4 linked regions of the Diceros bicornis minor genome follow. The protein of the gene in region 3 interacts with the protein of the main gene of each other region in a pairwise test. Links are inferred from orthologs where the notes say so. Each region holds a gene or a part of one and is shown on either strand. Other genes may lie near its edges. The genes, in order: MYG1, SNX10, ARL6IP1 and SNX11.

Region 1 (7,828 bases), on a different chromosome or scaffold from region 3:
CACTATGCTGTCCTCTTCGCTAGTGTCCAGCAACTGGGCCAGCAGCTTGTGCCCGAAGTGCAGATAGATGAGTCCCGCACTGCTCAGCTTGGTCTGCCACGGCTTCCCAGGGGACAGGGAGCTCATGGTCTCTGTGAAAGATCTGAGGAGCACAGGGAGGCGGGGCTGAGGCAGAGCGGCTCCAGTTAGCCCACAGCGTGTGCGGGCACGCAGGCACAAGTGGGGTGGGGAGGCTGGGGAATACTGCCGGAGTTGTAGAGGCTTTGGCTCCTCCTCAGGGGTCAACATGGACCTTGGCTTGGAGTCTCCATTCGTGCACTCACTCCACAGTGGTTAACTCAATGCTTACCACATGCCAGGCTTTGTGTTTTAGATATTAGGGATAAAAAAACAGACCTGTCCCCCAAGTTCATCTGCTAAAGGCAGACAAATGCAGACAAGCAAGCGAATGCTCCAGCTAGTTTTAAACAAGGAAAAGGGGGGAGGGGATGAGGAAAGGGTTCAGGAGGAGAGCCTTCAGGTCATTCCTGCAAGATGAATTAGTGGGTGTTCACCAGACAAAAGGGTGAGGGAGAAAAGGCATTCCAAGTAGAGAGAACAACACGTACAATGGCTGAGAAACAGGGCTCCTCATGGAACTGCAAGTGAGGCAGCTTGGGTGTGAGGAGTGAGTGACAAAAGATAAAGCTGCAGGGGTAGGCAGGGGCCAGATCATGGCAGGCCTTGTACGTCACACTTTGGAGTTTGAACTTTATCTGTGGGTGATGCGGAGCCATTGAGAGATTTGAAGCAGGGAAGAGCACTGTGCCAGCCAGCATCCTGGAGAACAGATGCAAGGAGATTAGCTCCAGATTACCAGGTCCAGGTGAGCGAGGAAGGCAGGAGTTTGAACAGCAATAGGACAGAGAACAGGAAAAAGGTACGACAGTTGTTAGGGAAGTAGAAACTACAGCTGTAATTTCTAAATACCGGTCCGCCACAACCACCTAGGGAGCTCGTTTTTTGTTTTAATGACTTATTATTCAATATTGAGTAAATACAAAAAATATAAGATATTTATAAGGTATAAAGACTAATGACAATAACCCGCCACATAAGGTTCAAAAAGAGGCAAAACTAAATAAATTGTTGATGGAAACAGACATATCTGGTAAACTATACACAAGAACAAAGGTATGATGAACTCAAAATTCGAGATATTGCTACATCTGGGGGAGGAAGGGGATGCAGCAGGGAAGCGGCACAGGTACAGATGCTACGGTAATGGTAATGTTCTAGTTCTTAGGCTGGGAGATTGCTTCATGGGTATTCATTTTATGTTTTACATTCCAGAAATGTTCAATACATTCTTCTATGTGTCAAAAAGTGCGTAATTTAAAAAAATGTGTATAAAATCATTAGGAAAAAGGAAGTAGTCAATAGTCAAGTGCCACAAAGAGGTCAGTTAAGGTGAGACCCTCAGTCAGCAACCCGAGTTTGGTGTTGAGGTCACTGGTGCCCTTTCCATGAGCATTTCCAGTGGCGAGATTGGGAGAGAACCGGCTGAATGAAGGAATGAATTGGAAGGGATGTGGAGCCAGGGTCAGCTCTTCTTTTGAAGACTGGCTGACAAGTGAGGGTGAGAGATTAGGCTGTAAATACCAGGAGGGTTCCCTCCCAACATCATTTATGAAAGTAATATGTATACTTAAAAAAGAGAGGGAGGGAAGGAAGGAGAGAGAGAAAGGGAGAGAAGTACTTAGAGACTTAAAATAAAACCTCCTCATAATCCCTGAGCAGTAACCGCTGTAAACAGTGTGGTTTATGTGCGGAGGTTTTGTTTTTTATTCACTCCTTTGTTTCCAAGACGGGAGATGCTGCTCAAGCAGAGTTTTAGGCTGTAGGCAAGGAGAAGTAGAAACACTGGTGGGAGAATTGTGATGCGGAGTCCCAGAGGAGAAAGCAAGAGATTGGAAAAGGGGCAAGCAGAAGAGAGCAGTGTTTCCTGAGCTGGAAGGAGGGAGCTGAGGACGTGCATGCAGAAAAAGCTCAATTTCCTTTGAAAAGTTAAGAGGCAGGATCACACACTGAGGGAGTCTGATAAGGTAGGGCTTGAGGAGAGGGGAAAGGATTGGAACGGTATTGTGGACAACCGAGTACCCTTGAAAAAGAAAGATTTCCCGATGGAAGAGTGTAAATGAAGCAGAAGACCACACACATCTGAACGGTCAGCAACCAGCACAATCACGCGGGCCCAGCAGTCTGAGGCCGGGCAGCAAAGGCACATGAATAGCTGGGGTACTAGGGGGGGTGATGATGGTGCTGGGGGGTGAAAAGCCTGACTGAGCCAAGGAAGGTGAGTGGGGAGGGGCCTGACGACTGACAAGGGAGGCCGGGACAGATGCCAGGGCTCAGGGAGCTCCAAGGCCAGGTGGATGGGCCCGGAGCAGGCAGAGCTGGAAGGATGGAGGGCTGTAGTCCCATGGGACTCAAGAGTTTGCTTTCAAGGATGAGGCAGGCACATCCCTTGGCTTACACGGACCACAGCAGCGGACGGCTGAAGTGGAGCTGAACTTGAGGAAAGTTCAAGGAAGCTAAAGACATGGAATCTGGAAACCCACCTTTGGTGATGGTCATATCGATGTCTCTGAGGATCGTACTCGCCGCCCACGTCTACCACGATGTCACAGGAAGCCAGTTTTTCGGGGTCTCGGGTCCGCACAATCTCTGCGTCCTGCAGGGGACACAGGAGGTGAGGGACTGCCAGGGGTCGCGCGGGTAGAGGATTAACTGGGTGTCCAGAGGAGTCGCGCGGGGAGGGGCGGTGCTCGGGCCCGAGCCACCACAGGGCCCTCGTGAGGGGCGGTCCCAGGGTCCGTTTCCGCGGACCGTACCTGGTACTCGGGCAGGAGGCGCAACAGCGCGCACGCCAGGGCCTCGTCGCAGTGGAAGGTGCCGTTGTGGGTCCCGATTCGGAGCGGTGCCATGAGGTGGCTGCGGGGTCGTTTGGGGGGCGGGACGGACTCGGGGCCGAGCATGCGGGACCGGGCCTCCAGGGGTGGCGGCGGCCGCAGCAGAGGCAACAACCCGCGCAGGAAGCGGCAGCCCATGCAGCCTCCCCGCGGGGGAGGGGGGACCCGGAAGCGGAAGCGGACGCGCAGCCCCACTTCCGCTTCTCGGCCGTTGCCACGGTAACCGCCCTGTAGGGAGGGCACGCTGCCGGGGTTCCCGAGTACGCAACTCCCAAGCTTATCAGGCTCCGGCGAGGGGGGAGGGGCACACCCTCTCGACCACCGCCCCCAGCTCATCACCAGGCCCTTGCTTAACGCAAGAAAAGACCGACATTCTGTCCCGCTGGCACGTTTATTAGCAAGAAACACAAGACCCTTCACTTTCCCCGACTCCAGGAAGCCACGCCCACAAAGTCCCAGGCCGCTAAAGCGGATGCCTCTGCCCCATTTCGGTAACAAGCTCTCAGGCCTTTGCGGTAGCCTGAGATGCCCCCAGGGCTGTGAGCTGCTGAATCTTCTGGCTCATCATCTCCATGACCGCTGTGAAAAAGAAGTCAGAGCCTGGTCAGGAGCTAAAGGAGAGAACCTAGAGGTCAGGAAAAGTGACAGGGACGTTTAAGGACAGGCAGACAACCTGCTACAGTTTGTTAATAAAACTTTTAACAGTGATCCACTGTGGGGGACACACACTAACACAAATTTAGAGTCTACACTGTGTCAGTCAATATAACCACTGGGATAGGAAAATGAACAAAATACAGTATTCAATGAGTCAGACATAACCAGGAAATTATAATGTGGAAAAGATTTTTGCCTTTAGAACAGTGGTTCCCAATCCTGACTGTGTAACAGAATCACCTGGGGAGCTTTTTAAAAAACACTGACCCCTGGAATCCCCCTCCCTACCCCCCGGGTGATTTAGTTGGTTTGGATGAGCCCAGGCTTTCTTTTCAAACCTCCTTGGATGATTCTAATGTGCAGCAGCCAGGGTTGCAATTGCTGGTACTTAGTTAAGGCTTTTTTTCTTTTTTTAATTTTAATTTATTTTTTTCCCCCCAAAGCCCCAGTAGATAGTTGTATGTCATAGCTGCACATCCTTCTAGTTGCTGTATGTGGGATGTCGCCTCAGCATGGCCAGAGAAGCGGTGCGTCGGTGCACGCCCAGGATCCCAACCCGGGCCGCCAGCAGCGGAGCGCGCGCACTTAACCGCTAAGCCACGGGGCCGGCCCATGGCTCTATTTCTTTCCTGTGTTCACTTACATGTATCTTCTCCCCCATTCCATCCTAATTAATAGGAGCTCCACAAGGGCACAGACATGATTTTCTTCCTCTCAATTTCTCAAGCACTGTCTCCACGCCGCCCCACCCCCAGGAATCTACAAATAGCAGGTATGTAATGCACAGAATCTAGAGAATAAACACATCAAAACACCAAAGAAAAAGACATGGTTTTAGTCCAGTAAAGGGGACACCCCTCTGGTTCACCTGCAATCCATGTTCTCTATCATAGATATAGAAAGGGTCAAGCAGTGCCCCCAGGCCAACCTTACCCTGTTTCATGGCATGCTTCTCCTGCAAAGCTGGCTGGATTTTCTCCATTTGCTTGGTGAGGAAGTCTACCTTCCTCTTGAAGAAGTCCTTGGCATCCTCAGCTGTCTGCAAGGTCAGAGGTGAATGAGGAGCTAAGAGGAGACTCCAATGCTGCACTCTAGTCTTCCCCTAAACTCCCTTTCCCCGCTCACAGGAGTATGCACATGCTTCCTCCCACTCACCTTCTCTACATAGTAGCCAGTTCCCACATCGATGAGGACGTGTTCCACATCATGCAGCTTCCCAGGGACATACATCTGAGAAGCAAGGATTAAGGGAAAACTAGCCCAGCAGGAGTCATGATTCCCTGTCACTAGCCTGCTTGGCTTTCTAAGACCCTCCTTCTCTAAAAATCTCCGAGGCACAGGGACTGAATCATCTGGAGGCCCTAGAACTATACCTATAAACTCCAAATGGGGAGAGACAGAGAAGCTGGTTCCTTGTGGAGAAAATGACATAGGCTGGAACACTTTTACCCTGATCCCATCTCCCACCTCCAAGCAGTTCTTACAATTCTTCCCATTAGCCCCTCCAGAAAGACAAGACATAATATATTCTCACTGCTGTAGAGTGTGAAAAGTGAAAAGCCAGCCTCACTTCCCCTCAGCACTCCCAACTATGAACTACTTAATTCCTGATGGATTTAGTGCTCATTATCTAGCCAATCCCTACTACACTGCTATTCCTGTGTTTCTCTTTTAGCCTGTCAGTTCTCAGACTAGTCTCCAGGTGCCCTATTGTCATAACTTACTCAAGTAAAACACTCAACAGGTAGACACAACCCAGGTTTCTTAGTAACAAAAGGTTAGGAATAAGAGCCACAATTAAGCTGAAATTGAGGATTAATAAACAGAGCCAATCCCTTTGTTTCTATATCCTCTTATTCTATTGCTTATGTCTTCTAAGTTATTAGTAAAAGTGTAAACCACCAGTTTTATCTCCATATTAGATTATATCCTCAAACAGCAAAAGGAAATAATCACACCTCAATTCTACATATTTCCTGCTCACAAGGCATTGACTGGATGTTGGCCCCAGGTTAGACAGGAGAGCTACGAAGTGTGTATAATAAGAGTGTTCTCAGAACCATGGGGGCACTCTGGAATAATCAAAACTACCTCCCACCCCTTTTGGGGAGGGGGGAAGGAGAAAAGGAGAGGGCAGGGTAGCAGTTCGTGTGGAAAGGATACAGAACTCGTCAGTGGGACGAGTAATTCTTTCCCTGTAAAAGCAATTAAGACAAACATCTGGGGAAGGTGGGCACCTCCGACGTTAAGATGTTAAAAGGGAACTCCAACATGACACAGCGCCCAGAGATAGTATGAAAAGAAGGGAAACGGGGAACAGGAGCAGAGGAATGTCCTGTACATTTCAATGCTAGGCAGGCACCATGCAAAGGGCTCGTGTAGCGGCAGACAATATGTAACGGATTGCTTTCTCGTCTCGGGTAAGGGCAACTGGATTAGGAGGCGGGACGAGAGAGGAAGCCGGCTCGCCACACCCCCCGGTTGCCTTCACACGCCTACCCCATACCCTCGTTGCTCCTGTTCAGGACGTTCAGACAGTCCTTGGCTTCCACATACTTGGTCTGTACCACCTTGAGCTGAGCAATGGACGTGGACAAGAACTCCACTTCCTACAGAGGACGGGAAAGAGGGTCAGAGTGGGAACCTGCGGGTCCTGGGACCTGATGGGGGTTTCACCTGGGAAGAGAAGCTTCCCAAAGTGGGGAGGAAGGGGGGCGAGGGAGTACGCGTGGGCAGGAGGGATGCGAGGGGGGAAAGGGCTGTCTCTGGGGCCCGTCCCCACCTGATCCAGCTGGTTCTTGAGCATTTCTAGCTGCGGCAGGTTCAGCTCCGTGATGTTAACCGACTGCGCCATGTTGGGGAGGAGAACTAGCGAAGCGGAAGGCGGCTCTGCGAGCAGCGCTCTAGCCTTCCCCTGCGCGCCTCGATGGCTGCGCGGGAGGCCTCGCTGCGCCAGACATCTCTATGATCCCCGTCCCGGGAGGGGCTGAGCTTCTCAGACTCGCCTTTGATGAGAGAAGGTAGTTGTGCGTTCTCTGCATAAGACATCCCAAGCCTAGCGTAGTAAAATTGTGGCAAACAGGACTCCTGCCCTCAAGGAACTTAAAAATCTTAAAAGTACTCAGGCCATAACCGCAATTTTGCAAAGCAATGTATGCTACTCCACGTGGATGGTATAAACCCGGTGACTGAGAGTCAAGGAAGACGCCTGGGAAGTGCGGGGTCAGGGGGAGTAGCGTCGTGAAAGTGGTGCTGTCGGCATGAAGCTGAGGAGTCTAGGGGTGGAGAGCATGATCAAGAGCCACGTTATCAACGGACGAGTACGGCACAAGGTTTATTAATCAATGCAATGTCTTACCGTGTGCTAGATGGAGGGATAGGGGAGAGGTCTGTGCTTCTGAGGAGCTTAACAATCTCTTTGGGGAGACAGAAACCATGCATAAACAGCGGAGCCCCACAAAATCCGCTGCTGAAGTGCACGGCACCGACCAGTGTAACAGCTGTGTGTGGGGAGAGAACGGCCTCTAACGTCCAACTTTGGGAGTTGGGGGGGGCAACTGAGGCATTAAAGCTAATGTCACTGCCAGGACACCCGAGGGCAGGAAGACAGGACAGAAATGATGGTGCCTGCTCAGGACGCTCCCAGTGGGTCTCTCTCTACCCTTCCTTGGGCCTCTGTCCCCACTTAAGGCATTTTGATGCCCCTCTCTCCTTCAGCTTTGTCTGCTGAGGCCAAGCCAGGCCCAGCTTTGTCCTGTGGTTTTGCCTTTCTCCCCAAGGCTCTCAGACTTGAACTCCTGTGAGCTGTTCTCATCTGTTTATAGTACCACATGGTCGGTGGGGGGCAATAGTCTTGTCTTCAAATGAATTACACAAAACAAGATTTAAATAATGTGTCTTTATTACATTAATGTTAAATGTTTCATATAAAACACTGGGGAAAATCACTTAAAATTTACCCTAAGGGTTAAATCTAAGTTTGGAGGTAGAACAGTCACATGGCTTCTATCAGCGATAGGACAGTTCCAAGGGATCACTGCAGGAAGACGGGCAAGCCATAGGCTACAGGTGCAGCCCCAATAATATACTTGAGTCGGGGAGCCTGGCGGGCCTGGTTGACATAGTAGAGAAGGGGGGCTCCTGGGCCTGCTCCAAGCCAGCCCTGCAGCAGAGCCTCCGTGTAGCGGTCAATGTCACGGTCAGTCACATCCCAGAGGTTA
Region 2 (7,282 bases), on a different chromosome or scaffold from region 3:
ATATTGGGGTATGATGCAAAGAATATGAGTCTGGAAGTCAACAGACCTGAGTTTTAGTCCTCTTTCTACTTCTAATTAGCTCTGTAGTTCAAATTAAGTTATTCTGCCTCTCCACTGGGCTTCAGTTGCCTCATTTGTCAAATGAGATTATCGGAATAGAACAGTCAGTACTAACCTTTCTTTCCACCGTGGGTGACTCTAAAGTAAGCTGCGGACTCTCTCCCTCAGAACAATGCACTTTTGCACATGAGAATGAAACCATACATTTTCAGGGGGTTCATAGACTTCCTAAGGTCTCCCTCTGTATTCCCAGGGTCAAGATCACTGACACTTATCACAAGCTTTTAAAAATAAGAGAATACAACAGAAATGTATACAGAATCACAAAATCCTAAGCAAAGTTGCATCATTTACAGAACTAAAAGCATTTCCTCTGCAGAGACCAGAAAGAGGGAGTGGCTACTTAGAGAAAAACAAAATAAAGTGCCAGTTCAGAGTTGCCCTTGACTGACGCCCGGCTGAGCCCTTTACACACCTTCACAGGGGAGTGGCTGAGAGTACCCATTCCAGAGCCAGGCTGCCTAGTGCAAATCTTGGCTCCATCATTTACTAGATTGTCTGACTTAGGCTCTGTGCCTCAGTTTCTTCATTTGTATATTAAAAAAAGGGGGGTTGGGGATAAAAACAGGACCTATCTCAAGGATTGTTAATATCCATAGGGTCCTTGAAACAGGGCCTGGCACACACCAAGCCCTAAATAATTATTAGCTATATTAGAAATCTGAGACACATTTGCTGGGTGGTTAAAATTATGAAGAGTTTAGAGAAGTCATAAATATCTTGATGCCTTAGTTTCCTCAGATGTAAATAGGATCTGCTTCATAAGTTAGTTGGGAGGATTAATGAGACTGCCACATAAAAACTCTTTTCACAATGCCTAGCTCATAATATGTGTTCAATAAACGTCGGCTATTATTACCAACAATTCTGACAGACAATGATTATCACTACCTTTTTTTACTCCTGAATAAAGGATAAATCAGACTTAAGAGAGGTTAAGTGCCCTGCTGACAGTACCTCAGCCAAGAGGTCAAATCACAGTGCCAAGATTTCAACTCTGATAAGTCCAAAACCAGAAGTTGTAACCACTACCTCGTACAATCTCTTATTTGAACAGGGCTTAGCGAACAGAAGAGCTGATTCATACCCACTATTCATACAAGAGAAAGAAAGAGGTCAGTAAAAATAGTCCCAAATTTGCGGTATTCCCCATGGAGGTCAACGTCACTTTGGCCAAAAGCCCTTCTTTGCCACTCTTAGAAATGAAAGTCTGCAGAGGTTAGACTGTGGTCCAACCAGTTCTAAGCCCTTCACCAGTGGTTCACAGACCAGACACCAAAAGAGGAAAGAGAAGCCATTTCCCACAATAGCTTAATTAACAGAATGAACCCTTTAAAATGAAGGTAGAGATCCTAAGGCTGAGAAAATCTACTAAGAGTGCTCCAAGGGCATGGAAAATTGCTGTAGAAGAACACAAACATTAGTCTTTAATTAATACACTTTCATATGGAAAAGAATGAAGGTGTTTATTTCTATTTTTCGATACCAAGCTCCAGGTGGCCTTCCCATAAGTAAAACAAGAGGAAGTTGGTACCACAACCCAGAGCGGCGGGGAGAGAAGCAGACTGCCAGACAAGACAGCCCTGGCGAGAAGCAGTGTCATCCGAGCAAGACCCCACTCTTGCAACATCAATTTCCTCAGGGGTGAAATAGTAACGTCGGAAGTGAGAACGAAATGGACTGGCAGAAGAAACAGGATGAGCAGTTAAACACAAGTCAGTGCTAATCACCCTACCTCACACCTTCATGTATTTACTTCTAAACGTATTTTATTTTTGTATATTCAAAACAGTCCCATTAGTCAATCTTAAATCTGCCATTCCTTAAAAAGAAAATAGAAAGGCCTTAGGAACAGGCATCCCTGGATGATGGAAGAAGAGGCAGGAGACCCCCACCCCACCTCACCTCCGTTGTGGGACTGAGGAGCCCCAGCAGAGCTTGCCGGTTCTCACTGGCGTCCACCTCAGGCCCAGGCGCGGAGAGGGAGTTTTGCATTCCAAGCCCACCCCCGCCGCACGTCCCCAACCGTGGGGAGAACTCTGCAGCGGAAGTCAGAAGCCCACCAGAATCTGGGCCTGCTTCTGCGGGCGTCTGGCTGACTGACTCCCCTCCCGGGCCTTAGTTTCCCTGTCCTACGGGATCACGTGAAAGCCTCCTTCCTGCTCTAAATTTCTAAACCCATTATTCTTACATGGAAACGTGTCTTGCAGAAATAGAAGCCCTTCCTTTCAAGCTCTTCCGTCCCTGTGACCATTCCCTCAATAACCTGTGTGTAATCTTACAGAATATGATGCATCAGAACTGAAAAACAGGCTGTTGCTTTCCGGTGGCACCAAACCTGGTAATCAGTCAACGTGGATTTTCTCCCGGGCCTTTTCCCTCAATCCCACAAACCCACAAAAAAACCCCTGCCCACCCCTCCCGATTTCTAAACTCAAAGCTACCCTTCCGTGAATAAAAAAATACCTACCCAAACCTGGCCTGGCGTAAGGTGCCACAGCACTTTTCCTGGCATCCAGGATTCCACCTCTGCCCCACCCTCTCCCCGCGGTGTCTTTTTAGCCGTGACCCCCTGGATCAATACGTTCCTTGCCCTCCCCGGCAAGCACACCCCGTCCCTTCCGTCCTCGCCCGCACACCTCGGCTGCAAAGGAGGCAGCTCCGGCTCCACTCCCAGGAGACCCAAACCTCTTCCCCGCCCGCAGGGAGCTGGGCGCTGCGGGAAGTGCCCCGCGCCCCTGGAAAGGAAAGGGCTGCCGGCTCGCCGCCCGGCCGCGGCCCCCACTCCGGCGGCGTGGGCAAGGCCTCCCCGGCAGGTCTCCTGTCACTTACAGGCGGCTCCTCCGGGCAGGGCCGGGCAGGGCAGGGCCAGCGGACCGGCAGGCGGCGGAGTTTGCTGACTCAAAGGCGCGGCGGCGGCGGCAGCGAGCGCCCAGGAGCGCACCCGAGCGCAGCCCCGCGCTCCTCGCGCACGTAGCGGCCCCGCGCCGGCGCTCAGCCCGCCGCCGGGCCTCCTGCTTCCGCCACCGCACCAACCAGCACAGGTGCGGGCCGCGCCGCTGGCCGCGCCCGGCCCTCCCGCCCGCGGAAGACGAGGCGCACCTCCGGCGCCACCGCCGAGGGGCGCTCGGCAGCACGGATTCCGCCCCCCGCGTCCGCAGATCGGGCTAGCGAGGAAATACCCCCGCTTGCCCGGTCGCTGAGGCTGAAGGTGTGCAAGCGGCACCCTCTGGAATAACCCCTAGAAAGCCACCATGAGCTTGCTAACCCCGCCCGCTTAGTTATGGGGAGGATTGCTGAATCGGGAGAGGGATGGATAGACAGGGTGATCAACAAGAATAGTAGAATATTAATGGTAGAATCTAGGTGGTGGGCATATGGGTGTGCACTGTAAAATCTTTCAGTTTTTCTGTATGTTTGAAATCTTTCATAATAAAACGTTTGGGGAAAAGAAATGAGATCTTCCAAGGAGCCTGAATCAGTAAGCCATTTCCCAAATGGCATCTTGAGCTGAGTCTGACCCACCTGTTTGCATTGTTAAAAAACGAAATTCAAGTGAGTCAATTTCAAAAATCTGTTTGGCTGTATTCAATGATTCATGAATCGGGCAGCATCCCATCTAGCAGATAGAACGAGCTCTGAGTGGCTGTACAAAAGAAAGACTTTTATAGGCAGAAGGGAGTGGGACAAGGAAGTCACACTAGCAAAATTCGGATTGGTGGTGGCAAGGTCACTTTCCTTTAGGGGATGGCAGGGTCTATCAGGCAGATCACCTCACTAGCGCTGACCAGGTAATTCCAGATTGACTGGTTTAAGCTTCTATTCCTGGGAGAGGCAGAAAGTATAATTAAGTTCGTTATTAAGTCTCTGTTTGGTGACTCGGTTTTGGGCCTGTTGTCTCCTTTTTAACAGTATGGAGAAATGCAATAATCACTTACTGCTAATGCACGATTACACGACAGAATAATAAACGTAGCCTAATTTTTTCATTTTTCAAGGATGAATTTTCCCAATAGACAGGCGGCTGCCAATTACCATTCAGGGCCATTCCAGGCCTACCTGAAAATGTACCTCTCTATCCTCCACTCCTAAATTTTGGCCTTGCATAACAAAACTTCTAAGTCTACAATGTTGTGTCTTAACATCTTGGATCCGGAACTTGCATCGCTGAATCTTGAATCCCTGGGACTTAATTTCCTAAAATTGCACCCAACTCATAATACATAAGTGAATCACTTTTGAAAATTCTGAAAATTTCACTTTTGAAAATCAAATCAAAGTGTATTTTTCAAATTCTTGTCCTTATGCTCCACAAAGAAAAGCATTGACTGGAAAGCAAAATGCGGTATGTGTCTAAGATCCTAAGAGATTCTGCAAAATTAAAATCTTTCTGAATTTATTATCCTCAAGAGCACGACCTTAAACTGTGGACAGAGCAGCTGATAACCTTTGGGTAGTCTATAGGAGGTCATTTAAATATGTTAAGAGTATGGCCCTAACAGAAAGGAAGACTATGAAAAGAATTCAGACTAGAATGAAGCAATAATGGATTATTTTAATCCAATCCAGCAGTGTAGCAGCTGGGTGTGTTTCTGGCTTTAAGAATTGTAATGTGCAACCTGAATCCAAGGGGCTAAGCTAAGTGATTGCCATCTTTTATACCATTAGTGGGCAGGTAAAAACCTGGGACTCTCTCGTGCTTAAGAAACCCTAAATTGCTGATAAAATCACCATAAAATTGCTTTTAAGAGGAAATTCTTTCACCTACACAAATCCTGCCTCAAAGGTGGTTTCTAGGGTCAGGTTAACTGGGTTCAAATTCTAGCTTTACCACCTCTCACTATGTGATCCTGAGAAAATAACTTCAACTCTCTGGGCCTCATTTTCCCATCTTAAACAGGGGGATAATAATAATAGCACCAGCCTCATAGGGTTGTTGAGGGGGTTAAATGAAATGACTCAGGGGAAGCTCTTGGAACTGTGCTGGGTACATAGTAAGTACTCAATAAATTTTATTTTTTATTATAACATTATTATAACTTTTTTTATTATAACTTGATCCTCATCTCCTTAGTTAGTCATATTAAGGAAAGCCACCTCCAGCCCCTGCCTCTAACTCAAAAGTCAGTAAGAAGACACTGAGTCCATCCTCCATCTCCTGGGAAAATTGCAAAATTCACAGACGCTTAAAAAGGAAGTTGTGTGGACTTGGTGTTCAGAAATTGTAATTAACTGATACTATACTACATAACATTACATCAAAAACTCTTTATCTTTAAATTTACATAAATGGTCCTGCCTTCTTGAGAAACACTGTCGCGGCAGATATTCATAATGTACGGAAAATGGTTTTTATCATTCATCAACCAACCAATAATGGGATGTGAGCAAAAAATTTAAACAAATGACAAATAATTTGGATTTTCGATTTCTGATCTTAGAATCATAATCTTTTTTCAATAGTACGAACACATACAGATCAAGGTGAATAAAAATAACCATTCTTGACTGTCAATCTAATGTAATATCTCTCTTATGCACCTCTCCCAAAAAAAGACTAGAGAAAAGTTTTGAGCCTGATTAGCTATTTGTAAGATAAAGGGGTTGAGACTTCTCATCCATCTACCTACCCCTCCATCTTCCTTACTTTCGTTAGTGGACTTCTGTTCTCTCAGTTAATACCCCAAACCTACTAACTTCAGCACTGCCTTTGACCTGCTGCATTCCTCCAATCCGCTCAAATCCAAGTCCCATACATTTCTTCATGGTCAGATCTTGGTGTTACTCACTTTCTGCTTTCCTCCTGTCCAAATTCTCAACTCCCTCAGAATCCTACAATAGCCTCTTTACAATGGTCCAATTTAGTGGTTTTCAAATGTTTTTAACAATGGGATCCTTTCTTCAAATGAACCCCATTTATAAAATAGAGAAAAACAGTGTTTTATTACTATACATTTATTTAAAGAATTTGATTTTGTAACATTTGTTATCATAAAGAAATACATGACCACGGGAAGTTGCTTTGTTGAACACCAACATTTGAAATCAGGGGTTTGTGAGTGATTGTTAGAATGTCCTATCAGTGTCCACATCCAATCTATTTCTCTATTTGATTATTCAGTATTGAGAAAAATCCTAATCTACTCAGAGAAGTATTTGTAAATAGTAACAGTTTGTCAACAGTTTAAGATTTTCTTCAATTTAAACTATTCAGAAGTTTGAAAGACGAGTAGTTGAAATTTTTATTTCAAAGGTGAAGCACTAAGAATAATACATCCTCGTGCTTTATCACAAGTAGAAAAGCAGGTAAGGAGACCAATATTTACAATAAGTGCTAACATGTCCATAATGAGAATTATCACCACGTGACATGCTATGTGTTCACTCGTCGTTACACAACCGTATAAGAAAAAAACTCCCATCTTTCTGCTTTACTCTCACACTACTACCACACTCACAACACTTCTGGCACCAGAAGTGTGGATTTTCCACATATCAAGCGGTTCTGTGACACTAGCTGGCTGTCCTATGATTCAATTCAGTTCTGACACTATCTACCTGGAGTTAGCATCAGATCTCACAGGCTAAGTGTTCAGTCCACAAGACTGTGCACAGTTCAGATGCCAATCACAAGTTCCAGGTTGTCACCTGTACTTCTGATCCAGCAGCTATTGGTTGGAGCTCCCATGACCCCGTCCTTGGGTATAATAATTTGCTAGAATGGCTCACAAAACGCAGGGAAACACTTACATTTACCAGCTTATTATATAATAAAGGATATGATAAAGGATACAGATGGAGAGGTACCTAGGGTGAGGTCTGGAAGGGTCCCAAGCACAGGAGCTTCTGTCCCCATGAAGCTGGAGTGTGCCACCTTCTCGGCATGTAGATGTGCCACCAACTCAGAAGTTCTCTGAACCCCTACTTTCAGGATTTTTATGGAAGCTTCTTCACACAGGCATGATCAATTGTTAATTCAGTCTCCAGTCCCTCTCCCCTTCCTGGAGGATAGAGGGTGAGGTGGAAAGTTCCAAGCTTCTAATCATGGCTTGGTCTTTCTGGTGACCAGCCTCCATCCGGAAGCTATCCAGGAGCCCACCAAAAGTCGCCTCATTAGGGATCGCTCCAACGATCTTGGAAATTCCAAGGGATTTAGGTGCTC
Region 3 (7,132 bases):
TCTAACCCCTAAGATTCTGATGGTTAGACAATTCTCTGTGCTTAATTACAGGATACTAATCACAGCCACCAGGTTCAGGAACTTCTCAGAAATTAGACTGCCAAATCCTTGGGCCACCTACCATTTATTGGAGCCAAAAATTCTAGGTGCCAGAATGGGAACAAGGTAGTCAGCCAAGCACAAAAACATAACAAAACAGGAAACACCGGACAGAACAGATGGATCTAGATAGTAGATAGTCCTGTTTTAAAAAAAAAAAAATTAATAAAGGTTAGAAAACCATAGTTATTATTATTCCCAGCTGAAGATGCTTATTCACTGAGTCCTCTGGTTCTCAAAGATGTTATTTGCCCTTTTCATTCTAACTTTCTCACAAGTGGTTTTCCAAAAGCTTCATGACATGATGACATCATAGCTGCAATGGTTAATGCAAATACCAAGAAACAAAAGCTCTTTGGGGTCCTCAATACTTTTTAGGAGTGCAAAGGGTCTTTATTCAACTGCATTAGGTTACTGAGTTTACATAAGTACTACAAATTCTGAAAACTAGGCGAACTGCTCTAAGGAAAGGCATTCTTTACAGATTATACATTACACAAAAGACTAAATGAAGGCTGTGTATGACCTGAGCCCTTACTAATAACAAGCACAATCCATAGCAATTGAACAGTGCACTTACAGAAACACCAGAGAAACCACCCCCATGACGGCAGGTGGAAACCAGGCTCTCTCCCAGCGCAGGACCTTGTCAGCCATCAGCATCACTTCTCCCCATCCTTGCAGCTGCTCCTCCAGACTCGCAGTCTCTGCAGCCTACGCATGACCAACATTTAAAGCGGTCATTTTACCACTCTCAACATTTCTGTGGTTCCTAGAGAGTTAAATTCTTCCAAGGCACCAAGTGTGTGTGAAATAGCTCTTAACCAAATCACTATCTTAAACAAGTTAGTTTCCAAAAAACTGCAATTTTCGTACCAAAGACAGAAATTAATGGGGAAAAAACTATCATTTAATGGTCCCCGTCCAAGTCCAAGTACTGGGCTATTATTTACATACACGATGTAACATAATCCTTATAGAGCCCCTCAAGGTAGGGACAATTAGATCCATTTTACAATGAAAGAAAGCGAGCTCAGAATGGTTAACCAACTTTCCCAAAGTCATGCACTAAGTGGCAGTGCCCAAAGTATAAAATTAGATCACTTTCAATTCCCCCATTTCAGGTAGTTAGAACTGATCTGCTGTTTTGTCATTCCATTGATTTAAACCCCTCCTTCTAAATCCATTAGGAAAGCCTCTCCCTGAACAGCAATTTCTAAAATAGCTCTTTGTGTAATGGAATCATTTAGATGTTGACATCATTTACACAATTAAGGAAAACTCGCCAAATTATAAGAAGCATTTTAGCTCAATATATCTCCTTAATACAGAGCTTCTTACACTTATCAGGACATTTTAGTTAGACCTCAAATTTCTCTGCAAATCTGACTATCAGCTGAAAGCAGACTTCTAGGATGAGCTAATGCGGCAAAAAGCCCTTAAGCTGATTTGGGTAGAGGAAAAAAAACTGGAACATGTCCTTATAAATGTTATTACAGGGAAACATGCAAATAACAGGGGAGAGTGCAGCTTAATCTTAATGAAAATGCTATCTGAGCCACACTGATCACACTTAGGTGTCAATATTTCTGACTTCATATACTATGCTTAATATAGTTAAATAAGCAATTACTATGTGCCAGAAACTCTGCTGAGTATTTTATATGCTTATATTTTAATCCTCCCAAAAAGTTAAAAGGAAGGTGGCGTTACTAACCTCATTTTAGAGAAGAGGAAGCTGAGCCACACAAAGGTTAACAGATGTGAATCCAGGAAAAAATAAGGTCAAAGGCCTCGCTCCCCTTAAAGCTACACTGCTCTGCTGGGCAAGAGCAGCTGAGCACCAGGCCAGGATCTGTCATTTCAACAGCTGTGTGAACCTGGGCAACTTCTTTGTGCTTCAGTCAATCCTCTTAAAAGCAACCTGGCTAGGGCTAACTAAGCACAGCACTGAGAAGGGGTGTGGTCTGTGTGTGTAACGGGGCAGGTCATGCGTTTCTAAAAACCAATGCAAAATGAAAATCACGCACAATCAAAACTGCCCTGCAAAGTCACTTAATTCGTTAGCACCTGGGCTCTCGGAAAAACCAAAAGTGAAAAATTAAATTCTTTGGTTCCTCTATTCATTGTGGTTGTGGCGTGTGGCCTGTCTTTCCCTGGGGAAAGGCAACGGAGAAAATGCACGGATTTCTCTCGTTTTTGCCTAGATCATGCCGTGAAATTCGCAGAGGGGTTACACTTGCCCGCCTGGGATACCATCTCACTGCGGTTCCTTCGGACCCCTGCTTATTTCTGAAGTCGTCCTGAGACCCCCCCCAAAGGCTTACAAATTCCAGACCAACGCCAGGACGCCCACTGTCCTTCCAGCTGGACCCCACGCCCAGTTCCCCGCGGCGAACTCGCAGCCTCCCTGCCGTTTTAAGCTGTGCCAGCTCTAACAACCGGGCAGCAGCCCTTTGACCCTCCACTCCTGTCCAAGTCTTGGGGGGAAAAAAAACGAAAGGACATCCAGGTTAAGATCAAGAAGGGGGAAACCCGGATGCGGCTGGGGCCTGGGCCCCCAAAGCGCTCCACAGGCCCCTCGCGGCCGTCTGGCCCAGGCTGCACCCCAGGCTCGTCACAGCCCCCTCGCCCACTTCCTACTCAACCCTCTTCGTGACTGATCACGCGCCCTCCTCGGCCGGTCCGCACCTTCCCCAGGGGACGTCAGGGGTCCACACGACTAGGGACTGCCACCCAAGAAGCCCGAGGGGCAGGCGTCGTCGCCTGGCCTGGGAGCCGGGAGAGGAGGGCCGGGCCCGCCGCGGTGACAGGAACGAGGCCGCAGCGCCGCCTCCCTGAGCCCACCCACGTCCGCAGGCCCCGCTCGGTTCCCCCGCGACGAGGCCCCGGGGCTCACCAGCAGGTTGGTGCTGCGATTATCTCCCTCCGCCATCGTCCCCGAGGTGCCGCTCAGCGAGCGCCAGCCACCCTCCAACGCAGCCTTACTGCAGGACCCGCACAACGACTCCAGCGCGAGGGTACGCCCCGCAAGCCGCTTATATAGGCTGGCTGCCTTTCCCGACAGACCCCGCGAAGCTCGCTCCTCATTGGGCAGATCGAGCTCAAGCTTAAGGGGAGCCGGACCAACCGCTGCCCAGCGCATGGCTTGAAATCGAGGTCAAAGGCGAGCGGGGCCGCTCCGGGCCGAGGGGGCGGGGCAGGGACTGACCAATCAGCGCCCAGGAGATGTGCGACGCCCCGCCCAGGCCTCTCGGCAGCGGTTGAAATGCGGCCGCCCCGGGTCTGGTTTGGCCTCGCTGGCCCCAGGCGTGGACGCTGCGGTCGTCTTCGGAGCCTCTTCTGCTGGAGTTCAGAGCAGCTAAGGAGCCTCTCTGGAATTTAGTCCTCGAAGAAATATGCCACGCATATCAGGCGGAGGGCAGAGATGGGCCTGGGACGCTAACCTCGATGTCATGAAGGGGGTCGGCTGGGACCCCCTTCCCCACCAGGCGGGTGCCCCCCGCCCTCGCTGTGCCCCTGGGCGGCTCCCCCTTTCTTCTAATCCCCGCTCTGGTCAGGCCACCGGGCGGTTTAGCCCAGACTTGTGACTCGGAGACTCGTGCCCACCTCTTGAGGTTTTGAGGACAAATGAGAAGAGCTATTTATGTAGATTTTTTGCAGTTTTTCCTTCCTACCCATTAGTAATACGGCCTTAGCTTGATAGGGAGGGAGGAGGATCTGGGTCTAGTTTGAGAACTTGTGAAAAATGCACTGACTTATCAAGTTGGCTTATTTACGTGGAGTCTTTAAGGAAATTCCTTGTGGGGCACTTCAGTTACTTAGGAAACTGCGAGCTCCCTATCCAAAAAAGGACTCGTTTTGACAGAACCTTTCTTACACTGTAAGTCATGCTAAGGAAAGATGCAAACCGTGGGATTCAGAGGCAATTTAGGAATTAGATGAACTATGTTGAGACACTTCCTTTTCTCTCCAGGATTTCAACATGCATTAACAAGTGCTTTGATTTTCTTTACTTGGTACAAACAAAATCAGGCCAAATGTTGACCTGGTCACATTGTCTGTTTCAGGAAAATTTATCATAGCTTTTAACTTCCAGCCTTTTATCCTTTTATAGTCATCTGTATTATGCCATCGAATTTAGATTACTTTAAAAGCATTCCTTAAATAACTACCAGGTTCTTAAGAGTTCAGGGAAGGCATAAAGAAATTTGAGAATACAGCTATAGCGCACATGCAGCTCCTAAGAGAACCAGGGGGGCAGGAACATTGTGAATTTCATGAAAGGGTGTGAAATTTGCCATGGATCTGTGAAAAAAATAAAGCAACTGGATTAGGTATCAACACTTGGTGGGGGGGAGCCTTTGCAAGGGAAGGGGCCTCTTCAATAACGTGCCACTTTGGGGGATGTTGGGGGAAAAAAACAGGTGATGTATGCAGTCACATAGAGACCCCATTTTGGGAGACTTTAAAGCTATCGAGTCGCAAGCCCTCCCCTACCTCTTCAAAAGAAAATTAAAAGGTCCCTAACAATCAGCAGCCACATAATAGTGCATATGTTGAGCACTTTGAAGGCAAAATTTGCTTACAGGCACAGTAACATTCACTGCCAAAGGCGAGGCCAAGGAGTTATTAGGCTTTAAACATCGACATTTCTACTTTTGGAGATCAGCTTTTGCTACAGAATGCTTCTGGTTTTCACCCAAGTTCCCTATGTACAACTTAAGAAGAAAGACTTTTCAACACCAGCTTGTGAAATTGAGGTAGGTGAAAAGAATTTAAGTAACTCAAACAGCAGAAGTTCTCCATGGAGTATTTTTGTTACTCAAGGAATGTGTTCCCAGACCTATCTGCAACTTCAGAGCCTAAGTGCTGCTGTAAGGTCTGTCTTTAACTTACAATTGGCCTTATTAGAGGGAAAAAAAAAAGCCTACCCTTAGCGTAGCTTCCTTTTGTGCTGTTTTTGTACTACAAGGACAGGATGTGATCTTTTGAAACGTGCCAAATGACTTAACAGTTAACATAAACCCTCCTAACATAAACTAGCAGCAACAAATGCAATCTGATTTCCAGATAATGAAACAAGCTGGACATTTTAATTCTGTTCTCCTTCTGAGCTTTCATACCCCAGGGAACATACATGTCAATAATGTTCTACAGTTTTGTTTAAATATTGACAAAATTAAGCTTAATACATTGTACCTTAATACTAAGAACTTTCCCACTGAAGTAAAATTTCCACTGCTGTTCAAAAATAGAACTTGGAGGGTAAAAAATTTACTTTTTAGAGAATTAAGCTTTAAAAAAATTTTTTTGGAGGTATTAATGCTTAAAAAAAAAAAAAACTACCCATATTCCAAAATTAAGTTTTCTGGAACCTACTTCAACCAATAAATTCAGAGCTTAAATGCTATGTCTTTTAAGACTTTATTTTTTGAAAAACAGGTATTTCATACAATCTTTGCCATGTTAATGCAAATATGCAGAACATAGGCATGTATTTTTGTTTTCCAAAAGATGCATTACGAACATTTTCAGGAAGCTGGTGTGATTTATTCAACTTTTAATCTTAAATACAATCACAAAATTATACCCATCAGGAGGCATTACAACCTTTTGTACAGAGAAGCCACTTTATTTATACAATGTTACTGGGACAAGGAAGATTCAGTTCAACTCAATTTGCTCTTATAATAAGGGTGAAGGAAATTAACAAGTAAGTGAAGTATGATGGTGCCACTGACATTACAGCTGGAAATATAAGGAAATTTAAACCAGAAAAATAACTGACACAAGAACTTTAAACAAGAGCTGAAACTTGGACTTGCAGGAAAAGAAAAAGAAAAATCAGCCTGTTTTGAAAGAAAGAAAACATTCTACAAGTCTGCATTTCAAAACAAGCAGTTCCTTAAGTTTACCATCTTCGAAAGTCAAGCTAATTGTATGACATTTTTACATTAGCACAACAAACAGCTTTTCCCTAGTAAGCCCAGTCAAATTCCCACAGAAAGCAAGAGACTCTAAGCAGTTCATGTTGTACCACTAACCCCTGAACCTATGAAGCTTCTCTCAGCCTGAGTCCATTTGCCCTCCTGTAAATAAGGGATGATGACAGTTACCCAGGCCTAAAAAGCAGGAAAAGTGCAACACACCCTTAAGAGGTTCATAATACAGTGAATTTCCCCTTCCCCAATGTCTGGAAAAATCTATAATGCTAGCTAGTTTTTCCCCACAGGAGGAAACTTTCTAATACAACCCAACTACTTTCTTTAAGTGACCCTTATTTAATATATTCTACCTCCTTGATTTAAGTGGGGGGAAGTCCTAGCTCTAAATTACTGGCATTTTACAAGCTCAAGAAGATATAGAATGGAAGGTCAATGGTTCTAATTTTATGTAAAACAAAGGTACTTAAATTGCTAATAATAAAGCAGTCACTGATTTTTGATGTATATGAATACGACTAACAGGCTTATTGTAGGTGCTTTCTTCAATAGGAAAAGAATTGGGAGAAAAGAAGAACCAGCTCCTTTGATTTTAGTACTGCCAAAACAAGTAAGCCCCCAGAGTAATTACAAATATGTGGAGGAAAATAGGCCAGGAAGACTTTTCAATTTAAAGTACTGCCTATAAAACCCCAGATTTAAAAGGAACTAAGATTGCACATCAACTGTAATATTTGGCTGTACTTGCATTGCCCTGCTCGGCAGTTTTTAATGGCTCTTTCCTTAAGTTTCACACATCAGAACAACCACAATTAAAAAACAAAAACAAAAACCTGCAATTAAACCAAGGCAGATAACACCAAACATTGGACAATATTAAGAAAACTACATACTAAGCCTTAAGGTAACAGAGGCAAGTGTTAAGGGCAGAAGTGATGGAAGTTTTTCTTTGTATTATAAACCCTCACCCTGAACCTGGGGTTTGGGGTCTAAAAAAACCATTTAGGGAAGCAGATCAAGAGGCTGATTATCAGTTCTCACACAGAAATCTCACAGATCTCAAAAACAACTCACCACAAGTGTCAGAC
Region 4 (7,117 bases), on a different chromosome or scaffold from region 3:
TTGCACAGTTGCAACCTTCCCTTATCTAATCCGTTCTCCGGAACCCAAGCCAATGGTTCTAATCATTTCCTCTCTTGACATGCCATCCGGTTTGTACCTCTGCCCAAGCACCCCACAGCTGCACAGGTCAGCTGAGGATGTTTTCCGCTCCTTTATAAAGATTCATTAAAGCCCAAGCCTCTGATTTCCCCCAATGTGGCAGTTTACATGTGCAGCGACATCGCCCACTCCGACAAGGGGATCATGAAGGCAGCAGCACAGGGTTACTCAAGTCCAAAGGGGCCCATGATGTCACCTTCTGTTAAAATACAGCACTAATCTTGTTACTCCTAGAACCACTCCAACAGCATCCACCCTGGCTGCCGCCTCCACCCCCTTCTCCCCTCTTAAGAGCGGAACAATAAGGTTTAATTTCCCTTTCCAATTTACCTTGAAATGAAAACTGACTTCAGCCAATATGTACTGCCAACAAATGATTCGGGCTGGCTCCTGGGAAAATGAGACTATCTCTATGCTCTCTTTCTCCTCCCCCCATGCCCATTCACACACCCACTCATTTTTACAGTCCCACAATTAATTTTAAACACATTCTCTTATTAGTTCTGCCTTACCATTAGAAGAGTGTGTAATGAGTTTCCTTTTATTTTATGTTTTGCTAACACAAGGCTAATGTTTCAAGAGAAGGCGAACTCATTTATACCACAAAATTAGCAGAGCAAACAGCTTTTCCAATTCTTTCCAGTACACCAGAAGGTCTCTCCACACATAGATACTGCATGCAGAGACAAAGCTGCATGGTATATGACAAAATTGGGCTGTACCGTTGAGCGAACCAGAGATTTTGTGATTGCAATACCATCTTAAACAGTAATCTTGCTGACAATCTGATTTTTCATCTGATGCAGTCACCATCGCAAAGGGGTCATGGACTGAAAGGTAGGAAATTCCACTTCCACAGCAACCGATGTGTAACATCCTGGATGTAAGCAGTGAAATGGCTGTGATCAAAAGAACAGGCCAACTCACGGTGAACAATTAACCACCTCGGATTAAAAAAAAATTTTTTTCTCTTCTCTTTTCAGGCATTTGGTAAATTGCCAGCACAGGAGCAGAGAGTTAAATATTCTGAAGTGTCTTTTCACAAAAGTAACACTAGAAAGATGATGACATGGAATCAGTTATCCACACACTCAGTGGAGCTCACACATCTCCTGTACCTAGAAAGCTTTGCCAAATTCAGGACCATAATTTAGTAACTAAATGGTCATCATTCTCAGGATCAAGAAGAATTTGCCTAGGGCTATGCACAACCTCTGAGCCCAAGTTCCTCTCTTTTCCTTTGGGGCTAATACCACTTAGAAACAAATAGCTATACACAGTTTAAAAAAAAAAACTAGGACCTCCAAGATGCTTAAATCTAAGTTTACTTAAATCTAAGTTTAAAGGGCACTAAAAATGTTTCAATTGTAACTTTCCTTAAAAACACTGGAACAAATACAAAAATCTAGACTCCAAGTAATAATTTCTAGCAACTACTATTCTCCATCAGCTTCCTACTCATATATGCCACTCCTCAGAAGGAAATGAAGCTCAGTTCTGCCCTTGGAGGGAAAGGAGGAAGTTCCTACCGTGAGTTCTGTGATCTGAGAGATAGATCTGCATGTCATCCAAATAAGGATAGTCAGTGACCCTCTCAGCTACTTATGCAACTCACTAAGTGCTAGCTACACTTCCAGGCCCCTTCAGTCACATCTGAAGTTTCCTTTACTTCCTCCACCTGTACCAGCACCAATGGCCCCAGGGAGAACCCAGTTGTTTGCTATTCACAAAGTAGATTCCTTGTAAACCTTTCCAATGTCATAACAATTCAAGGCTTCAGCTCCACCATTTTCACTCCCATTTAAACTAACTACTTCAAGGGGGCTGGCCCGGTGATGCAAGTGGTTAAGTGCGCGTGCTCTGCTGCGGCGGCCCGGGGTTCGCCGGTTCGGATCCCAGGCGCGCACCGATGCACCGTTTGTCAAGCCATGCTGTGGCAGTGTCCCATATAACGTGGAGAAAGATGGGCATGGATGTTAGCCCAGGGCCAGTCTTCCTCAGCAAAAAGAGGAGGATTGGCAGATGTTAGTTCAGGGCCAATCTTCCTCACAAAAAAAAAAATTTTTTTTAAATAAAAATAAAAAAATAAACTACTTCAAGAGACAGATTAAAAACCATATCAGGTGATAAAAGCATATTGCGCCACTGAGACTCCCATTTCTTCTTACTCATTCTTGAGCCCTGGTGGCAGACAGCAACTCAAAAAAGCTCTCCTTCCTAAATACTCACAGGTGGTGAAGGAAGCTCCCCTGTCTGACCAAGCTCTGTGTGTTCTCAACCAAGCAATTCTGCTCCATCCCTCCCTCCATCTGTAACTTGGAAGATAAGTCATAAAGGCGACCACAACTTAGCATAAGAGCCTCCCGTGTTCCCATAAAATACTTGCCATTACCCCTAGTCCTAGCCGTTGGGGTAAACGTTCCCCAACTCTTTTACTCCGGCCACTCCCCCTCCATTCTTAACGAAGTAGGAGCAAAAGGGCCACATGGTCCTTCTTCTCCTCTGCCTATTAAGCTTGGGGAGTGGGAAGGAAAGACACTATATACTTTAAAAGTTAGTAGAAAAGCCAGGTTTCCTTCCTTGGATCCCGAGCAAGCACCGCCTTCATCCCAGAGATGAAACGGCCCCTTCCCTAGGACGTCAAGCGAGGTCCCCACCCCAAGCGCCACTACAGAAGCTCGAGCCGGCGGCCGTCACCTAAGAGCAGCACGCACTCCCCGAGGCCGCGCCCGCGCCCCCTCACCTGAGAGCAGCACCCACTCCTCACAGGAACACCGCCGGCGCCCCCACCATATAGCCACTCGCGGCTTCTCCTTCCGGGTGAATCGCCGGTGCTCCGGTGCACGACGGGAGACGCCTCCCGACACGCCAATCCCGGGCGCCCAGGACGCCCCGGCCCTGCAGGCCCCGACTCTTAGTGGCGGGCCCCGCCCAGGCCTCGGCGGGAGTCGGGCTCCCCCGGGACTCACGTGGGCGCGGAAAGGTGCACGCGGGCGAGGGCCGGCGAATGGGCTCTGACGTCCAATCCAGGGCCGCGTCCCGCCCATCGTTGTCAGGCCCAGCCAATCAGCGGCCAGGTAGCGTCAGTGACGGTCTGAAAAAGGGTCCCGGGAGCAGAGAGGTGTGAGGAGGTTGTCACCGGAGTTTTGGTTCTGCAAAGGGCGGTCTTGGGTGTGGGAGGGCCGGGGAAGGAAACGCCCACGTTCCTGGAGCTTCGCTGAGTCTGGGGAGAGTCCCCATTTGAACTCTGCAGGTTGCAGTTCCTCAGCGGAGTTATCAAGGGAACTTCAACTCAGGTTCCTAAACCACAGGTGGTCAGAGCGAAAACCGAACTGAGACTGCCCAGCAACGCACGTTTCTCTCGACGAAACGAGCCCAAAGAAGGATCGTGCAGCTAGTTAGTAAGAAAGAAAAATCCGTTGAATATGATGACTTTTTTTTTAATGTTGTTGAAATGTCTTTTAACCTGTTTAAAGATGATTTTAGCAAAGATAATATCAATGAAAAAGTTGTGGTCACAGATCCAATCTCTGGGGTTAGACAACCTTGGAACCATACCGAGCATGCACTACACTGACCGTGTGGCCCTAAACTGGTCCTAAATGTTTGTAAGTCTTAGTTTCCTCATCTGTAAAGTGGAGATTATTGCACATACCTCTAAGCAGCTTTTCTCAAACTTGGTCTCAGGATCCCTTTACATTCTTAAAAATGATTAAGGACCCCAAGGAGCTTTTGTTTTTGTGGGATATTCACTGAGTTAGAAATTAAAATTGAGAAATTCAAAAACATTTATATATTAATTCACCTAAAAACGATTACAATAAACCATTACATGTTAATATATTTTATGAAATATAACTACACTTTATAAAACAAAAAAACAGTAGTGAGTAGAGTGGCATTGTATTACCATTTTGCAAATCTCTTTAATGTTTGGCTTAATAGAAGACAGCTGGATTCTCATATTTGCTTCCCCCATTGAAAGGGAGCAGAATATGCCATGCCAAATTATGCCACTTTGGCATGTGGATTATTTTGAGCTGAAGGTAATCAAGACCCAGCAGACTCAAGAAAAACTTTGACTTCTCCCTTAACTACCTAAAAGAATTTAGATAGGGGGCCTGGCCCAGAAAGAGCTATTACCAGAGATAACTTTTTATGTGAAAGACTTACTTGCATGGCAGGGCAAACATCTGATCATCAAACATCTGCTCTTTTTATCTTCCTGTGTATTTCCCTCCGGCCCTTTGAAGCCCCAGACCCCTATCCCATTTCTTAGCTTAGCATGGCATCTAAGCCTCAATTGCCTGCCTGCCTTTGGGTCTCATATTTTTATGGAGCTCCCATATGTACAAAATTAAATTTGTTTTTCTCCTGTTAATCTGTCTTATGTCAATTTAATTGTTAGACCAGCCAAAGAATCTAGAAGGGTAGAAGGAAAATTTTTCCACCCTGACACCATTCTCTCTGTTGTGCTGTATTATTTTGGCATAGGAAATGAAGAAATCCAGTCTCACAGAGATATATAGTTGAAAAGGGAGGAGTATTTTTAGCCTTCTCCAATAATTGTGGATACTCTTCTTTGATACTAGCAAAACTCAACAAATGGTAATTTCTTAAAGGTTAATAGTAGTGAGGAATCTGAAACCATTTGGAAAACATTGATTTACTAAGTTATGCAACTCTTCCAAATATTGATGCATTTCATTATTCAACATAAAAAATCAGATTTATTAAAATCATCTCTAATCTCATCAAGAAAATCTTGGGAAACAGACAAGCTCACTGCAGTGGATACCACATTTTCTAAAATTACCATTTTTGCTTGGAAGTTTAAATTCTTTTATCATTGTCAAAAATACTTTCAGTCATTTTTCTTTGAAGTGGCAGGCTCACTTCATTCAAATATCCAATATCCAAGTCTGAATAACCATAGTTTTTCCGTCAGTCATTCTTTCAAATAAAAATGGTGTTCTATGAAAAAAAGCAGTTAGTTCAGTTTACACGTCTCAAACAATTGCACAACCGTATACTTCAGTAAGCAGCAGAAGTGTTTTGTGTACATCTCGCATTTCATCACACAGAACATTAAAAAGACATACTCTAGGAGAGAGATTTCATAAAATTAATAGTTTGTACTGCTTCTTCAAGGATAGTCTTAAGTGAAAATGGCTTCTTAATTCTTGTTTTGCATAGGCATGGCAGTGAAGAATACAAGGACTCTAGTACAAGTTGGTGCTGCCCTGCCTTGATTAATGCTAAGGTGCCAGCAGTTTCACTCACTGTTGCCCTTGCGCTATCAGTGAAAATGTCAACACAATGAAAAAGAGCAAATAATGTCTTAATATTATTATGAAAATAGTTTTGACCATTCAGACTCCTTGAAACATCTCAGACACCTCCAGAGTCTGTAGACTGCACTTGGAGAAATGCAGAGGGTATCCATTCATCCAACAAATATTTATTGAGTCCCTTCTGTGGGCTGGGAACTGTTTTAGCATTAAGAATAAAACAGGCAGCCAAATAGGAAAGTACCCTGACTTCCTGGAGCTTCTATTCTAAAGAATATAAGGGCTTAGTATCATTGCCCCACATATTACTCAATAAATGTTTTTAAATAAATTCATTAAATAATTTGAATGTCATACAGGTTTCACAAATAGGTGCCCTATCGCTAGCTTATTTTTTCAACAGTAATTTCTAACACATGATAATGGGGCTAATCCTTATCACACCTGAAATGCTAGCAAATGATAAAAGTACCTCTCCAAGTAGTGATCCCTTCACTTGAGAAAACCAGTCACTGTCAAGGCTATGGGTCATGAATGGAGAAGTATAGGTTTTAATTAGAGTCCAGTTACTACTAGGAAGTCACATGAGAATCAGACTGACCAGGGAAGCTAAGAGAGACAGCTAGCTCTTAAGCATATTTGCCTTTAAAAGAGAGAGCTTGTTAACCCCAAATGAATAAATCTTTAACAACAGAATTTCAAGTAGTAGTCAAAATGAAACAAAGAATCTCACACCCATTAGGATGACTGCTATCAAAAAAAAGCAGAAAACAGCAAGCATTGTGAGGGTGTGGAGAAATTGGAACCCTTGTGCACTGTGCGTGGAAATGTAAAATGGTACAGCCACTGTGGAAAATAGTATGGCAGTTCCTCAAAAAATTAAAAATAGAATTACCATATGATCCAGCAATTCCACATCTGGGTGTATAACCAAAAGAATTGAAAGCAGGAGCTCGAAGAGATATTTGTACACTCGTATTCATAGCAGCGTTATTCACAATAGCTAAAACGTGGAAGCTACCCAAGTGTCCAACAACAGATGAATGGATAAGCAAAATGTGGTACATACATACAATTGGATATTCTTCAGCCTTAAAAAGGAAGAAAATTTTGACATATGCTACAACATATGTCCATATGAACCTTCAGAACATTATGCTAAGTGAAATAAGCCAGTCACGAAAAGACAAATACTGTATGATTCCATTTATATGAGATACTTAGAGTAGTCAAAATCGTAGAGACAGAAAATAGAATGGTGGTTGCCAGGGTAGGGGGAGGGAGGAATGGGAGTCTTTTGGGTATAGAGTTTCCGTTTTACAAGATGAAAAGAGTTATGGTAATGAATGGTGGTGATGGTTGCACAACATTTTGAATGTATTTAATACCACTGAACTGTACACTTTAAAATGGTTAAGGGCCGGCCCGGTGGCTTAGCGGTTAAGTGCGTGCACTCCGCTTCTGGCGGCCCGAGTTCGGATCCGGGGCGCGCACCGACGCACCGCTTCTCCGGCCATGCTGAGGCCGCGTCACACATACAGCAACTAGAAGGATGTGCAACTATCACATACAACTATCTACTGGGGCTTTGGGGGAAAAAAAAAGGAGGAGGATTGGCAATAGATGTTAGCTCAGAGCCGGTCTTCCTCAGCAAAAAGAGGAGGATTAGCACGGATGTTAGCTCAAGGCTGATCTCCCTCACAAAAAATAAATAAATAAAATGGTTA

The links.
Region 1: the proteins of ARL6IP1 (region 3) and MYG1 interact in binary tests that used the Homo sapiens proteins (3 or more experiments, as listed by UniProt). The two-hybrid records come from large-scale screens. The link is inferred for Diceros bicornis minor from reciprocal best matches to the Homo sapiens genes ARL6IP1 and MYG1.
Region 2: the proteins of ARL6IP1 (region 3) and SNX10 interact in binary tests that used the Homo sapiens proteins (3 or more experiments, as listed by UniProt). The two-hybrid records come from large-scale screens. The link is inferred for Diceros bicornis minor from reciprocal best matches to the Homo sapiens genes ARL6IP1 and SNX10.
Region 4: the proteins of ARL6IP1 (region 3) and SNX11 interact in binary tests that used the Homo sapiens proteins (3 or more experiments, as listed by UniProt). The two-hybrid records come from large-scale screens. The link is inferred for Diceros bicornis minor from reciprocal best matches to the Homo sapiens genes ARL6IP1 and SNX11.

The regions. Positions count from the first base shown.
Region 1 is NC_080756.1:16,969,794-16,977,621, forward strand, and holds the start of MYG1 (MYG1 exonuclease), read right to left. Parts: upstream 3,105-7,828; 5' UTR 3,090-3,104; coding exon 2,874-3,089; intron 2,714-2,873; coding exon 2,601-2,713; intron 143-2,600; coding exon 1-142. Other genes in the region: PFDN5 (prefoldin subunit 5), read right to left, coding at 3,454-3,530, 4,542-4,647, 4,764-4,838, 5,772-5,803, 6,115-6,217, 6,391-6,462; ESPL1 (separin), read right to left, coding at 7,642-7,828. UniProt on the Homo sapiens protein: 3'-5' RNA exonuclease which cleaves in situ on specific transcripts in both nucleus and mitochondrion. Involved in regulating spatially segregated organellar RNA processing, acts as a coordinator of nucleo-mitochondrial crosstalk.
Region 2 is NC_080742.1:51,251,717-51,258,998, reverse strand, and holds the start of SNX10 (sorting nexin-10), read right to left. Parts: upstream 3,071-7,282; 5' UTR 2,953-3,070; intron 2,888-2,952; exon of another isoform or gene 2,760-2,887; intron 2,610-2,759; exon of another isoform or gene 2,591-2,609; intron 1-2,590. UniProt on the Homo sapiens protein: Probable phosphoinositide-binding protein involved in protein sorting and membrane trafficking in endosomes. Plays a role in cilium biogenesis through regulation of the transport and the localization of proteins to the cilium.
Region 3 is NC_080765.1:33,439,518-33,446,649, reverse strand, and holds the start of ARL6IP1 (ADP-ribosylation factor-like protein 6-interacting protein 1), read right to left. Parts: upstream 3,109-7,132; 5' UTR 3,035-3,108; coding exon 2,999-3,034; intron 814-2,998; coding exon 680-813; intron 242-679; coding exon 122-241; intron 1-121. UniProt on the Homo sapiens protein: Positively regulates SLC1A1/EAAC1-mediated glutamate transport by increasing its affinity for glutamate in a PKC activity-dependent manner.
Region 4 is NC_080757.1:37,807,756-37,814,872, forward strand, and holds the start of SNX11 (sorting nexin-11), read right to left. Parts: upstream 3,025-7,117; 5' UTR 2,843-3,024; intron 1-2,842. UniProt on the Homo sapiens protein: Phosphoinositide-binding protein involved in protein sorting and membrane trafficking in endosomes. Regulates the levels of TRPV3 by promoting its trafficking from the cell membrane to lysosome for degradation.